Linked DNA regions of Saccharomyces cerevisiae S288C. The gene in region 1 interacts genetically with each later gene. Each region holds a gene or a part of one and is shown on either strand. Other genes may lie near its edges.

Evidence for each region. Genes that interact genetically often act in the same process or in processes that back each other up.
Region 2: of PPX1 (region 1) and VTC5, changing one suppresses a phenotype caused by changing the other (phenotypic suppression), as found in Saccharomyces cerevisiae (one study listed by BioGRID).
Region 3: of PPX1 (region 1) and PPN1, changing one enhances a phenotype caused by changing the other (phenotypic enhancement), as found in Saccharomyces cerevisiae (one study listed by BioGRID).

What each region holds. Positions count from the first base shown.
Region 1 is NC_001140.6:497,730-505,328, reverse strand, and holds PPX1 (exopolyphosphatase), read left to right. Parts: upstream 1-4,185; coding exon 4,186-5,379; downstream 5,380-7,599. Other genes in the region: 40S ribosomal protein eS4 RPS4B, read left to right, coding at 82-853; SMN1 (Smn1p), read right to left, coding at 1,133-2,941; proteasome regulatory particle base subunit RPN10, read right to left, coding at 5,444-6,250; NBL1 (borealin), read left to right, coding at 6,470-6,542, 6,610-6,758; AIM46 (Aim46p), read left to right, coding at 6,907-7,599. UniProt on the Saccharomyces cerevisiae protein: Polyphosphatase (polyPase) involved in the degradation of inorganic polyphosphates (polyP) that is able to degrade a range of chains from three to several hundreds of residues in a highly processive manner.
Region 2 is NC_001136.10:620,396-625,221, reverse strand, and holds VTC5 (Vtc5p), read right to left. Parts: upstream 3,111-4,826; coding exon 501-3,110; downstream 1-500. Other genes in the region: ILT1 (Ilt1p), read left to right, coding at 1-156. UniProt on the Saccharomyces cerevisiae protein: Regulatory subunit of the vacuolar transporter chaperone (VTC) complex.
Region 3 is NC_001136.10:1,361,254-1,365,402, reverse strand, and holds PPN1 (endopolyphosphatase), read right to left. Parts: upstream 2,526-4,149; coding exon 501-2,525; downstream 1-500. Other genes in the region: thioredoxin peroxidase TSA2, read left to right, coding at 1-331; YHP1 (Yhp1p), read left to right, coding at 3,222-4,149. UniProt on the Saccharomyces cerevisiae protein: Catalyzes the hydrolysis of inorganic polyphosphate (polyP) chains of many hundreds of phosphate residues into shorter lengths.

The DNA.
Region 1 (7,599 bases):
TGTTAAGTAACAGATAAGCATTGCGGGATATTTTTACTAACAAGAGTACGTTTAATAATGTTAATACGATTTTTCATATAGAAAGAAGCATCTAAAGAGATTAGCAGCTCCACACCATTGGTTATTGGACAAGTTGTCCGGTTGTTACGCCCCAAGACCATCTGCTGGTCCACACAAATTGCGTGAATCCTTGCCATTGATTGTCTTTCTAAGAAACAGATTAAAGTATGCTTTGAACGGCCGTGAAGTCAAGGCTATCTTGATGCAACGTCACGTCAAAGTTGACGGTAAGGTTAGAACTGACACCACCTACCCAGCTGGTTTCATGGACGTCATCACTCTAGATGCCACCAATGAAAACTTCAGATTGGTCTACGATGTCAAGGGTAGATTCGCTGTCCACCGTATCACCGATGAAGAAGCCTCTTACAAATTGGGTAAGGTCAAGAAGGTCCAATTAGGTAAGAAGGGTGTTCCATACGTTGTTACCCACGATGGTAGAACTATCAGATACCCAGACCCAAACATCAAGGTCAATGACACTGTTAAGATTGATTTGGCCTCTGGTAAGATTACTGATTTCATCAAGTTCGATGCCGGTAAGTTGGTTTACGTTACTGGTGGTCGTAACTTGGGTCGTATCGGTACTATCGTTCACAAGGAAAGACACGATGGTGGTTTCGATTTGGTTCACATCAAGGACTCCTTGGACAACACTTTCGTCACTAGATTGAACAATGTCTTCGTCATTGGTGAACAAGGTAAGCCTTACATTTCTTTGCCAAAGGGTAAGGGTATCAAGTTGTCTATTGCTGAAGAACGTGACAGAAGAAGAGCTCAACAAGGTTTGTAAACATTTTAAATATTGTTATCTGCCCTCTCTTCGTCTTTTGTTTAATATAAATAAATTCTAAATCAACTATATATATGTATGTATACATATACATATACATATATCAATTATAAAAAAAGTGACAAGCATTATACATACAATTTTTCTTTTTTTTTCATGAAATGTGTAACCAGTGTGCCTCATTAGAGACAGGGACGAGAGAGCAAAGGTGCAATTTCCGCTGCAAATGAACTTTTTTAAACGATGTGCATAAATAAATAAAAAAAATGGCAGAATACTCTAAAATTGAGAAAAGTAATCCCGTAATAACTTTTTGGTTGAATCACCACCATAATGGGAGCAGTCATTGGTGGTCAAGTTCTCCATACGTAATCCTAAATCATTTATGATAGAATTTACGGCGTTTAATATATCGAGTTCCATAAAGGAATAGAAGATAACATGAACCATCTTCGACGGATCAGCTTCCTCTTCTTGCACTTTCTTCACCTCTTTACATTGCACTACATTGGGGATATCGTATTCTCTTTGTGAATTGTGAGGTGTGTCATCACCATGACACCCGAAATCGTCTTCTGTGGTGTAGCCTTCGCTTAAATTTGGATTATTGATGAAGGGACACTTCTGAAAACCGCCAAAATGCTGTTTGTGATGAGACGATGATGGTATTCCTAATGAGGCAATGACAGGGCCCTTGTTCAAATAGGTTTCCACCCTGGAGGCAACGACCAATGGAACTGTGATGAAGCGCCAATCATTATTGAATGGCATCACTATATACTCAGTATCCTTTGTAAATGGGCCTTTGTAAAGATCGTACCTGACAGAGCCAGTGTTAATCAAAATGAAACGACTCATCGAAGGTTCATAGTTTTTGGGAGGAATTAAATTGGGTAAAATCTTATGCGTGATCAAATGATAAAGATTCTCTTCGGAGTTTAATGGCCTTGTTGAAACGTAGTAAGTTTGAGGAATGTACCCCAGTTTCTCGTTCAAATTTAGTTCATGGCGCAGATCATTCACCAAACGAGAAATAGTTTTACCCTTTTTCGTTGAGACTGGAACATTCGAGTCATGCCCTAGTTTGCTCAAATGGTATTTGAAAGCTTCCTTGTTAAAGTCAATATACCTTCTTGAGAAAATAGGACTTTCGGCGTCCACAGGGTCAGTCATATTAATTGACAAGAATCCCACAGTTTCCGCAAATCTACCACTTTGTAAACAAGTAGATTTTGAGTCCAGCTGTACAAAATCCCTGATATGAGTGTGCCCTCCAAAATATTGTATAACAGTATTTGGGTAGTATTTCCTTATTAGAGCATGAATTTTGTGCATTTCACGCTCTGTAGGGTCAGTGGCAGGCAAATGACCAAAGACAATAATTAGGTCGATTTCCTCCTCTCTGTTTGTCTCAACCATATTTTGGAACCAGCTTTTTTGAGTTATTTCTTCCAATGGTGGTGTTACGATGGCTCTGTTATTTGCTCTTTGAAAACTAAACAAAAATGATAATGCCAGGACTCTTTGTTTCATTATGGGAGTCTCGAATGTAATGTATTTATTCCCGAAAGGAACCCTTGTTCCGTCATCTTCAATAAATTCTACGTTGCTGCAAACATATTTGTCTTTGAATTTTGAGGACTGAGAAGTTCCTCTATACTCTAGTATGGCACTTTCAGCTGTATATAGCTCATGATTACCTAACGTTAAAAGATCGTAATCCATCATGTTGAATATCTCCGAGCTTCGTAGGCCGGGGGGCCAAGTAGCATCACTCAAACCATTACCGTCTCGTTTGTCGCCAGTGTCGATGACTATTACGTCTCTGGACTGTCGTAAAATTTTTTCTCTAAGTATATCTACAAATGCAACGAAATCTCCCCAGTCAGCATCATAGTCGTTTTGTGATAGATGGGACCCCAACCAGCCATGAGTATCGGTTGTATGGATAAAATTTATATCCCCTATATGGATATCTCTTAATGGTACATCCTGCGACGGCGCTAAAACTGCCTGTTGTTGTTGATACGGCTTTGCAAAGATTAATCCTGTAAGAGCAACTAAACAGTGTACAAGCTTTAGTATCATTTTACACTGTTGCGCACACCTTTATTGCATTCACTCTCTTTGTTATTGCTGTAGTTCTTGTTGACGGCTTGAGGGGAAATAAGCTTATCGGCTTTTGCAATTGGCGGCTAGTTGGCGAAAGAGCGACTGATCGATAAGGACACTAAAGTAAAAAATAATATTAAAGATATACTGTAGAAATGTTTCATTATGGTTGTAATAATAATTTTACGTCATGCAATGGTTCAGATAGAAAGTTCGAGTTTGCTCTGGAACACAATTGTTTGTTTTCCTGCTTTCAAGTTAGTGCCATCTACTCTCTAACTACGGACGCCTTTACCGAAACCTATCTAGACAAATGTGTCTTTCTTGGAATAATATGAGCGTATATATGATAACGTTCGGGTGAACCTAATGCCTTGGTTCCTTACTCTATTTTGATCACTTCCTTTTTCGTTCGTTTATACATTTTGTTTCTTTTTACCAATATTCAACTTCTGAACACATAGATTTTAATTAAGATACAATTTGGCGAACTTAATTTGCAAACGATTTTACATGTAAGAAATTGTTGTACTGAAATCTTGATGTTAAAAAGTGTATGACTTTTACAACCTTTAGCAAGTATAATGGTTTGTGAAAAGAACCGTAAAATATAATCGTCATCTTAATAAGTTGCTAATGAATGATCACTGAAATTTCTACAGCAACAAAATTTATAACTCAAGTACAGTCGTGTTTTGCTTTCACTACGATCAATAGTATTATTATTACCGATGATTCCACTGTTAGTGTTATTATATTCAAGAGTGTACACTTCTCGCTAAGTAATGAAGAAATTTGCACATCTCATGTGTACACTCATTATACAAGATCACTTTCAACAAGCATTGAGTCACTAGAAAATTACAAATTATTTTCCCAGGAGGTGTAAAATGGCATATGTTTCTGCTGTCCTTGAAAAAAGTATGGAATAACCAGAAGCTTTGATAGAAAACGCCGAGGATAATACTCTGTGTAAAGCTCTAACCTTCATTCATTTTGTCACATTATCCACCTACTTGAATTCTAATTTAGAATACGAGTCGAAATAGTCTCGAAGAATAACTCACAACCTTTTTCCTATTATCTGTATGCTATACATGCCGCTGATTTTTCATTTTTTTCACTTTTAAGAGTAGAAAAAAGAAACGAAGTGTACATAATTAACTAAAGCCACTTGAAACAAATAATCAAAAAGTTCAAAACACCGATTGTTAAGAAAGATGTCGCCTTTGAGAAAGACGGTTCCTGAATTTTTGGCACACTTAAAATCACTGCCAATTTCAAAAATTGCAAGCAACGATGTGTTAACAATATGTGTTGGTAACGAGTCAGCAGATATGGACTCAATTGCTAGTGCAATCACTTATTCGTACTGCCAATACATATATAATGAAGGTACTTACTCGGAGGAGAAAAAGAAAGGAAGCTTTATTGTCCCAATTATCGACATTCCTAGAGAAGACCTCAGTTTAAGAAGAGACGTAATGTATGTCCTAGAAAAACTGAAAATTAAGGAGGAGGAATTATTCTTCATTGAAGATTTAAAGAGCTTGAAGCAAAATGTCTCCCAGGGTACTGAATTAAACTCTTACTTGGTAGATAATAACGATACACCAAAGAATTTGAAAAATTATATAGATAACGTCGTTGGCATTATAGACCACCATTTTGACTTGCAAAAACATTTGGATGCTGAACCTCGGATTGTAAAAGTGTCCGGCAGTTGCTCATCGCTGGTTTTTAACTACTGGTATGAAAAATTGCAAGGTGACCGTGAAGTGGTGATGAACATTGCACCACTTTTGATGGGGGCCATCTTAATAGACACTTCAAATATGAGGCGCAAAGTCGAGGAAAGTGATAAATTAGCTATCGAGAGATGCCAAGCTGTTCTTAGTGGTGCGGTTAATGAAGTGTCTGCGCAAGGTTTAGAGGACAGCAGTGAGTTTTATAAAGAGATAAAATCAAGAAAGAACGATATTAAAGGATTTTCGGTAAGCGATATTCTAAAGAAGGACTACAAACAATTCAATTTCCAAGGAAAGGGACACAAAGGGTTAGAGATTGGTCTTTCATCAATAGTAAAAAGAATGTCTTGGCTATTCAATGAACACGGTGGTGAAGCAGATTTCGTCAACCAATGCAGAAGATTTCAGGCGGAGAGGGGGCTCGATGTATTGGTTCTGTTGACTTCATGGAGGAAAGCTGGTGATTCACACAGAGAATTGGTCATATTGGGAGACTCTAACGTGGTACGTGAACTCATTGAAAGGGTTAGCGACAAGCTCCAACTTCAATTATTTGGGGGCAATCTTGATGGAGGTGTGGCGATGTTTAAGCAACTGAACGTCGAGGCCACCAGAAAGCAAGTCGTCCCCTATTTAGAGGAAGCGTACTCAAACCTGGAAGAGTGAAGGGAGATGTTATATATGCTTTATTTGGTTTATATATGACCCATATAGATATTTTTGTACACTACTATTTGTCTTGGTGTTGTTCAGGCTGTTCAGACTGCTCAGGCTGATCTTGTTGTTGTTGCTGCTGTCTTAACCTTTCCTGTCTTTGCTGCTCTTCTTCCATAGACAGACGCAAGGCCATTGCCAGTTCTGGGTCCATTGATGGGTCTACCCCGAAGTCCATAAATGTGCCATTGGCATCGGAATCACCGCCAGACCCACCAAAGGCGCCCATACCGGAGGATCCTTCTTCGAGAATTATGGGTGAAGATGCGATGTTCTCGTACAGCAGTCTGGGGCCAGGCGTCACAGTAAGCAAATGACTAGTTTCTTCTTGAGGGTTGTTCACTGCAGCTATGAACTCATCCAAAAGCTCCGTGTTCTGTTCAATCTCTCCAAAATTGATGATGTCCACGGCAACATTATTCTTTTTCAGTGTTTTTGCCAATCTGATCAATTCGTCTCGAGAATCACTTATTGGGCTACACACAAATGCCACAATCCTTTGATGTTGGACCTTATTCTGGCGATGCTTCAAAGTCAGCTGAGCGATCTGCAACGCAGTGGCCATATGCAGCTTACCCTCGATCTGCGTGTCGTGTAGTCCAGCAAGAATCTTCCCAAACTCGGCGGTAAACGTAGATAACACCCTGGGGTTGGCGCCAGCACCAGAGATAAGACCCACTGTATTCTCAGGATTGCTGTTTCTCTTGGCTTGAAATATGAACTCTACCGAGTCGATCTGGGCTTCAAACCTTGTCCTAGGAAAGTCGCCATTGCGAGAGTACTCTGAATTATCAATCACTAACACTGTAGCTTCCAATACCATTGTGCGGTTACTGCTGAGTTATTTATTGACTTTTCCCTTCTTTCTTTACGCTTTAAAAGTCTGATATAAGTGTGTATTTAGTTGTAAATTCCGGTGGCGAAAACCCGCCTGGCGGAAATAACCCGGCAGCTATAATGCCATATAACTTCAAGAGAATACAATTGTAAACAAGAAGTGGCAACAACATCAGCAAAAGGGCAGCTGCCGCACTCGGTTACGATGATACCGGCTCTCACTCCCGAAGAACGGCAGAAGTTGCGCAGCGCAATACTACATCGAATGCAGCTGGAACGTATGTCACCTCACCGCAACACTCTACCCCCAACCTTCACCCGCACTAATTACTAACACAACCTCAGTGGAAACAACAGAAAAACTGATCGAAAATATTAAAGAGGAGACGTTAAAGAAACTAAATCTGCTCCAGCAGCCTGATGCAACATCAGCGCCTCAATCAAAGGAACTAATCAGAGAGGTGCTTGAACAGGAAGGACGCCGTATAGAATGATTAGTTCGTATAATGGACCCTTTCTCGGTATTCGCAATGATGCACCTATTACTAATCAGCGGCCGATTTGTTGGTATTAAAGCAGCGTGTGGTTACATCCCCTTGTTGAATACATGTCTACTTAGCAGAAGGCCAGGTATATGGAAACATGCGTTTAATCAGTAAAGTTTTGGTGAAAACAAATTGCCTAGAGGTAGGTATGAGGAGGGCCCCACAATGGTATTCTCACTACTCTACTACAGCGGGCAATGCTCGTGTGAACAAGAAGGGCAGCAAAGTAGTGCCTGTGTTAACAGGGTTAGCACTGGCATCCATATTCGCGAAGAAATGGTATGACGATTCCCAGATCAAAAAGGCGGATGCCACCAGCGTTGCAGTGGACGCATCCATCTCTGCGTTCCCTAAGAAGATGGGCCCCCCACAGTGGCCCTTCTCCACGCAATATGAGCTGATTGGTAAGGGTGTACGTTGTGTCTCATCGATCACTTTCAAAGCATATGGTCTGGGCATATATGTGGCCGCTGAAGACAAACATCTGGTCTCTGAAGTACTGGACTCAAAGTTCCTGTCTCAGGCGTTCATCGACACTGCGGCACCCCCATCACCGGAAAACTCACATCAGGATAATTTGCGTGCGGCTTTGAACGATCCTGCTAAGGCCCCTATCCTGATTAATAACCTCTTAGACAGCGGAATCAGACTAATGTCCAAGAATACTCCGATAAAAGCAGGTTCCTTCAAGTTATTGATGGACGGCACCAAAAAGAGCGTCCTAAAGAACCCAGATTCTCAGTCTCAAGACAAAGACCGGCTGGAAGCTGGATTCCAAGAATTGCATGAC
Region 2 (4,826 bases), on another chromosome or scaffold:
TGTTCAATCCCCGACGATGCTTCGAGCTTTGCAGACGATTTTAATATATACGATAGTACTGATGGGGGGACGTTATCAAGAGCCCAAACATTGCATGCTGTCCATGGAGTTGTGGTTAGAACAGATCCTGATCGTTATTCGAGGCTAAGTGTGTAACGAATCTGAGTCCTTTTTAGTTAGCACGTTTTCATCTCTTTTTGATAGCACGCTTAATAATATTCACCACTAGCGCAGTAATATGGCATCTGCCGCAGGTGTAAAGGTTTTCACTTCGCTTATATTCACAATACTATGCGTTCAAACACGGCCATCAGAAAAGATCAAAATAAGGATTATTAATTAAAAACTTAAACAGAAATTCAGTTTGCAACACCCTTCGCAATGGCGAAGTTTCCAAAAACAAAATCTCCAAACAAGATTAACATTCTTCTTATGTAACCACATGATATGCATATTTTATATAGACTGTACACATGAAAAACTTTTATCGTCCAAAATAATTAAAAGAAAATTTCAATCATACCATAGCACACTGTTCCAGTAACTGAGAAAAACATTGTGAAGCAACCAACATAATGCCAGATTGGCGCCAAAGTGAACCGACTAAATAACAACAACAGGCACGCACAGATCAAAATAAGGGAAACCAGTAAGGAAATGATAATAATGGCTATGAGAATATTTTGAATTTCTAAATCTATCTCATTATTACTTTGCCCGCGAAACAAGGATAAAACGATTCCCAGACATACACTTGCCATAATGCAAGATGTTAGCAGTGCAGACAAGTATAAAAATGTAACAACTTCGTCATGCCTATATTCGTAGATAGATTGTGAGTCCTCTATGTCTTGCTGTTGATACTGTAAGTACCTTTGAACGTCATCATATGACGCTGAAGTTGATTGTGAACCAAATGACGCAACAGAACCATAGTTAGTTGATGAACAATGCGGATGCTTAGAGTTTTGAAACAAATCTGGCGATGTTTTCTTGTCATGGCGAATCAAGTTTCGTAACTTCTCACAAAAATCATATGTGCGGTTGATGAAATTCCGGCTAAACAAAATAAACCCATAATCAGGCGGAGAATTTCTCAAAAGTAAGGATTCTTCGTTATCTGTTGTACTCCTGCTTCCATTAGTATCAATGTAAAAAGCATTGTCTAAATTATCCTCTTCTTGTTCATCAAATTCATTCCAATACCTAATAGGTTTCTTTTTAGTTTCATTATCCGATTGCTTTGATTTTTTGTGAATTCGAACTCTTCTGCCGCTGTCAACACTACCTTGTGAGTTGTTTATCGGCCCAGTCAGGTCAAACTCTTCCTCTAGACGATCCTTGCCCAGCTGGAAAAATTCATCAGGTGATAGCGAATCATCGGAATTTAATTTATATTGATCTCTTAGTAAAAGTTGAAATAAATCATTTTGCAATTCATTTGAGTGTACTAATTCTAAACATATTTTCCATGTGGTTAAGTCTGGTGGTATTAAGCTGCATTGAAACTCATTTGTAACAACTGATTTCATTAACTGTTTAAACTTATTGTCTTCATTAATAGCCGTCTGTGAAAGACCACTGGATCGACTAAGCTTTTTAATTTCTAAAATTGGAAAGGGTAATGTAGATACATTTCCAATAGTGATAGATTCATCCAAAGCTATCAAGTATATATCTCCATTGTCTGCTGATATGAATCTTGTTCTTTTAAAATCTAGCTTTGGTTCAATGGTTTTTAATCGATGGGACTGAATCCACTCCAAAGCGATCTTACTGATTGGCGATGGATCCAGTGAGTTTATGAGAGCGCTAATATTTTTTGTGTCGTTGCCACTCCTCATGGCCGAAAGAATATTCTTTACATCCCTTAGAAGCAGATCATTTGTGACAACATGATTTCTTAAGCCGCCCACGTGGCACATTACTATACAAGTATCCTCAGCAGTAGAGCTGACTATCATGTTTGGGTGCTGATTTATATTATCATCAGTAAGTAGTAAAGGACTGCCTTCGTTCCCGACAGTATCTAGTATACTAATAGAAACGTACTTCTCATTGGATTGTACAGCAGAGGGTAATATGTTCTTCTGTTTAGATAGGGATAAGGTATGTTGTAAGTCATTGAATGACTTTGCTGATCTTATAGATTTGTTGCCCGCAGAATTAATATTATCTGTAGTGTCTAAAATCTCCTTTGAAGTGGATATGATGCTATCGTCAATTATCCTAAAACCAATATTCAATAGCATGAACTTCAGTCCCTCTATGTCCTCGGACGATAATAAAAACCTTCCTAGATTCTCTGCTTTATCTATGAGGGCAGTATCGAATTCTAGCGAAGAATCAATCATTTTTGAAGTTTTCTTGTTTGAAAGTAGCGGAATTGACCTTGGAGATGCTGGCAAGGAAGAATTGTTGGCTTCTGGACTTGAACTTGTATGGGCAGATTCATCGGAGCGGTTTAGGGATCTTTGCTCCACTGCTGGCTCAGTTGCATCTTCAAGTTTATTTTCCAAATCATGTAAAACATCAACAATTAGCGAAACTTCTAAAAGATATGGATCTAAATCAAGCTTCATAAATGATATGCCTTCGTGTCCATTTCGTAAACTTTCAGAGTTTCTGATCGACGTAACATACTCACTTGCAGTCAATGGATTTTCACTGTCTTGAGGAAATTCATTTAGTAATTTTTTGAATAACTTTCTCAAGGCAATCCTTTGTATTATCAAAAACCTTGACAGTAGTTGTAGTTCAAAGTTACAATCGTCTACATGAGCGTTGATGATTTTCAGTTTACGAAGGTTGAAACGGTTTCTGGAAGTTTTGTTTAAGCCCTTTGAAAAATCGATTATTGATGATTCCACAGAAAGAATACGAGTGGAAATTTCCTTTATTTTCAAAGAAACAAATAAATTAACATTTTGAAATTCCTGGTCAAAGGCTACTGAACATTGATTCAACAACTTCTCCATGCCCGAATCATTTGGATTGTCATAATCATAAGCCGTTACTTTTTTTATGGCTACTTTTAACTTCTCATAGTTAATATTGTAGAATTTCCATTCAGGGATTGATTTATTCAATATGCGATCTTCAAATTTCATGATTGTACAACCCTTCGTATCTATCCTTACCTAGGGCTGAGATGGAGATATACAAAAAAAAAGCAAAGGTAAAAAGCAAGTATTAAACTCTATCTCTATTATATTCAAGAGGGCAACGGACGAACTATTAATTTATGAATTTTAAAAGTCCTTTGATAGCGTTCACGATAGGGCTTTTTGATCTTGCCTTTGTTTATCTTTTTATCTGTTTTGTTTTTTTTTTTTTTTTTTTCTTGGTTCAGTTTTGACTCTTCCACACACCCATTTCGCTAGCGTAGAACAAGGGGAGACACAAACTTTCTTTTCCTTGCAAGTTAATAACACAACACCCGTCCTCCTGCACTGAATTTACACAGAAGTTAAGAACCGCCTCTGCTTTTCTGGTATTATTTTGCAGCCTTGCCTAAAAAAAGTGTGGTAATTTTTGAGAATAATATATTACTGTGTTTTTCGAAACGAAAGTTCTGAATATTGGCTTGGTCGCTTCCTGATATCTGGAAACTTGTTTAATGTTTTTAATTATCAGTCTTCAAAGCGTCCTGATATGACTTGCCACGTTTCCATCCATTCTATATGTAGTTTAAATACAATGAGATAAAGGGTGCCTGCATGGAACTTTCCATTCGAAAAAAGAGATCATAAACCTTATCTGTCAAATAAAAGCCAATCTATTTGATTAGGTAAAAAAAGTGATGTCAGACCAAAGTGCCCCTCTCCTGCAATGATCATCGATTACGTACGGGTGTAATGATCACGACAGTAAAGTGAGCAAGGTAACTACTATCCCTAAGTGCGGCGTCATTGTAAGTCTACGACGTAGCATATTCAGTTTACTGTACAAGAAAAGTTTTCTCTCTGTAACAAGAGGAAATTGGTTAGCTTTCTACGCTTACTTCGTTTGGTACGATCAGTAAAGGTGAATAAATTAAGATCCACGCCTTCATATGGCAGGATCCACGATATTCCTTGCAATACCCCTGGATAATTCAAAAACCAAATGTTACACGGTATACTTGAAAATCGATACCATATTAGGAACACACCGGCCAAAGGTTGATAATACTTGGTATGAGATAAAACCCGAGCTCAAGGTTTAATGTTAAAATTTTTTGTATATATATATATATAGTAATGGGCTCGGTTGCAAATTTTTATGACTATCTTGAAACTAGTTGAAATTGCAAGAACCGTCACTCTATGGAGTACATGAACAACTAAAAAATAGCTTGAAGATACTTGCCACTCCATGCCATTTCTAGAAAGGGGTCTCTTGAGAAATGTGTGTTAAAATAACGGTTATATAGTTGGAAAGAATATTACTATTTTGCGATTAAGGGATGCCGTATGGCAGGCAAGGAAGTATTTGATCAAGAATACCGATTAATGAAGCATGTTTGCCATTATCGTTGAACCTTGGTATTTCTCAGGTTTCCTTATCGATACGATAGGAATGAGAATCAACTAACATTTATCGACTACAATTCATTATTACTACTATATTATCAAATGCTCTGCAAGGAGATGACCAAAAAGAAATGAGAAACAGTCTTCATCTCAAAATATAGGCAATTACCAGGTATACGATATTTCCTCAAAATGAAAATGCCTAAAATACGACAGAAAAACTTAGGGTGACGACTTTTTAACTAATCACTGAATGCAGCCGAAGCAAGTAATTATTTCCCTCGTTGCTACTCATTGAGGCCGCTCCATATG
Region 3 (4,149 bases), on another chromosome or scaffold:
CAGAAAAGACGGTGGATTAGGTCCAGTTAAAGTTCCTTTGCTTGCTGATAAGAATCATTCCTTATCCAGAGACTATGGCGTTTTGATTGAAAAAGAAGGTATAGCTTTAAGAGGTTTGTTCATAATCGACCCGAAGGGAATCATTAGACATATCACTATCAATGATTTATCTGTTGGCAGAAACGTCAATGAAGCTTTGAGATTAGTCGAAGGTTTCCAGTGGACTGACAAAAATGGTACAGTTTTGCCATGCAACTGGACCCCAGGAGCCGCCACCATCAAACCTGACGTTAAAGATTCCAAGGAGTATTTCAAAAATGCCAATAATTAATCTTCGCACGATAACGCTAGGCCCTATTAAATAATTAAAAATACATCACCCTATATATGATAAGAAAGATGGTTTTGTATTATTATGAAATTGACTTGAAAGAATAGTGTAACAAAAGAAAAAGAAACTGTAATTGAAGAATGATATGCATTTCTATGTGTATATTAACTTAATCATCTTTATATCCAGAAGACGCAAATGACCATTCGACGTATTTTTCCCATGCAGGTTTGTTTTCGTATAATCTGCCTGCAAGATCCAAATAACTTCCTACTGTTAACGAATCCATTGAGTATGGTTTCTCGTCTGAGGTATATTCTATCTCATACCTGAAAATATCCTTAGATTCAACAAATGAATTATGTAATTCTTGATTGATTTTTTCCAAGTCGGCGTAGAATTGGACGAAACGCGTCGGAGTGAATAACTGCGGTACATATGCAGGGCCGAGTTCGTATTTGTCTGGCATCTCAATTGGCATAGTCTTGTCATTTTTCTTTTTCTTCTTGTTTTTCTTTTCGCCCATCTTCTCGCGGTTGATCCCAACCTCGATATTACTGCTGTCCATTTCATCTTCTAGCAAAGAGTCTTCCATAATCTTATTTAGTGACTCGAAAAATTCATCCCAGGGCTTATACTCCGAAACTGCAAAATTGGAGTCATTCACTATGTCGGTGATGTTATATTCCCAGATCCTAAAGGAAGGATTGAAAGTTGGAATGACTGAACCACCTATGTTCACAATGGAATAGCGTTCAATGAGCTCTTTTCTAGTGATTGGCTTTTTCTTTTTTTTGTCCTTCTTTTCTTTCTTTTTCTTCTCATTTTCAACATTTTTTTCATCCACTCTTTCCAGCTTATTCCACACTTTCCGATAGTATGTGTCGCGGACGGTGTTCATATATGCTTCTTTGTTAGATGGTTTCGCTCCCATTAAAAAAACTTCTTTTGCCGCCATAGCGTGATCCAGAATTCTATTCAATTCAGTTTCTTCGTCCTCTTCATTACTGTCTTCTCCTTGTTGAACACGAGTGGATTGCTCCATGGCTTTCAATAACGATTTTCTAGCTTTTTTACCATCCGTTGGGATGAAGTGGTCAATATTCATGTGACCGTATAATCCTCCAATGATTATATCCCTGTATTCGTGAGTCCATAGCGTGAACTTATCGTAGCACGACTGATCGAAATTTTTTGCGATTGGAGGTACATGTCCACTTAACCATACTTTCATTCCCCTACTCCTTAGTTCTTCTAATACATAACCGAACCAAAGTAAAAGTTGGTAACCTGGTTCTTTTTTTGAATTACAATTGTCAACTAACGGATTGGCCTTGAATAAGTACAGCGTGTTAATTGACAGGACAGCAAGCTTCCCTGGAATAACTTCAGTCAAAAATGAAGCACTCCTATCAAAAGTTCTTTGCTGCTGCTGCGGAACAAAATTTTTCCAAATCCTATAATATTCTCTAGTTTGTAGAGTTGGTCCTAGTGCAAACATGTTATGTGGAAAGACATCATTGTTTCCAAGACTTGGAATGACAGACACATCAAAATCTCTTGGATCTTCTTCATTGCCAGCACTAAATAATTCTGTCATTTTATCAGCAACGATATTGTTCATATCAAAAATTTGTGCTTCTGTTCTTGGATGTTTCCGGTCATTGTCATGTCTGATATTATCACCCGTCCAAATGACAAAATCAATCTTATCTCTAAGATTTTCTTTAATCCATCTCAGAGTTTCTTCCATTAAAATAACGGGAGAATCACATCCAGACATTGCCTTCCCAAACTTGGGTGCCACATCCTTTTTTTTGCTTGGTTTTCCTGTGTGACAAACTGCATCAATAGAGCTTCCTTCCACATAATAAGGGTCAGGATGAATATCGGTAATATGAAGGAACCGTCCATGTAATTTTCTCTCCTTCCCTGTCTTTACGTCTTTGATAATTACTGGCTCCCTAGGTGTCAGTCCTAGCCTTGTAAATTCTATGTCATTGAGCAATTGAAGTGACTCGTTGTCCCCCCTGTCATCTAAGAATTTGGAGAAAACGGAAACATATTGAAATTTAGCACCAATTATAAACACGAGGAAAAACAAAACACAGGTCGACAGGATGGCAATCAATGATTTCTTCTTCGGCCTACTCATGCTTACATTGCGCACTTCACTCTTACCCACTACAACCATCGAAAAGCAGCTAACTAGCTCTACCCCTACTCAATGAAAACAATAGCTGGAGACAAGGAGATCAAAAAAACTTTATAATTCTCCAACCCAACAACCAAAAAAAATATTGATCTGTTGATTTTAGCCTTCTTCTGACTTGTATTCTACCATAAAACCCTTTACACTCTCAAATGAATCTTGGTAATTAAAAGTGCAATATAACTTTAAAGGTGCTAAATTCTAATAACGACATATGTCCTCAATAGTCGGGTAATGGTCATATTTGTCCTCTACCGTACGAAGGGAGCATATTATGCATCCTGCTCGAAACGCTCAGAGAAGGGCCGCACAGGTGGGCAGATCACATTTCCTCTTTCGGCTATAAACCACGTCCTAATTTGGACATGACGCGCGCCAAAAACCCGGAATGGTAAACATCAGACGCGCTTTCCGTGCAGGGATACGTCGGTATTTTTAATATCAATGCTGAATTGGGTTAATAGCATGAGACATTTCAGCCAGATTTTTCGTTTACTCATTGTTTATTTGTTTGATCTGGATCACACAGATGAATGTTTATAAATATATATATGGCGTCCTCCCGATCTTGCCAACGTAGATTATAATTCGTATTATCTTCTTCTTTACCCTCGCCAGCCAGTGTAACTAGCATTTGTAGGGAAATAACAATAACACAAAATATCGTATATATATAACATGGAAAGCAGAAATACCGTGCTTCCTTCTTTACCAAACATTATTACAGGTACTTCTAATTCGCCTTTCCAACTGCATACTTTGCCAAATACAAACTTCCCTAGTGATGACCAAGGTGACATCAGGTTGCCACCATTAGCTGCATCTGCGCACATTGTGAGACCAGTGGTAAATATTTATAAAAGTCCTTGCGATGAGGAAAGGCCAAAAAGGAAAAGTCCACAGGCTGTGGATTTCTTATCACAACGTGTAACCACTTCCATGACGCCTTTATCCAAGCCCAAGAAGCTGAGCTCTCATTCACCATTCACGCCAACGGTCAGAGTCTGTTCTAAAGAGCAGCCACCTCAGAGTATGCACTCTTATAAAAAAGTTAATATTCTTACTCCTCTATCTGCTGCAAAGGCTGTTCTCACACCAACCACAAGAAAAGAAAAGAAAAGGTCATTTGCCTTTATTACACACTCACAGGAAACTTTTCCAAAGAAGGAGCCTAAGATAGACAATGCTCGGTTAGCTCGTCGGAAAAGAAGAAGAACTTCATCATATGAGCTTGGGATATTGCAAACAGCATTTGACGAATGTCCCACGCCCAATAAGGCTAAAAGGATAGAGTTATCCGAGCAATGTAATATGTCCGAAAAATCGGTTCAAATATGGTTTCAGAACAAAAGGCAGGCTGCTAAAAAGCACAAGAACAGTGGCAACACCAGCCATTGCAAAGTTCACTCTAATGATTCGATGTCTATGATATCTTACTCAGACGCTGCGTTGGAAATTACCTCTACGCCAACGAGTACGAAGGAGGCTATTACTGCAGAGTTGCTGAAAACTTCACCTGCCAATACGTCCTCGATCTTCGAAGACCACCACATAACGCCTTGCAAGCCCGGCGGACAGCTCAAGTTCCACAGGAAATCTGTGCTTG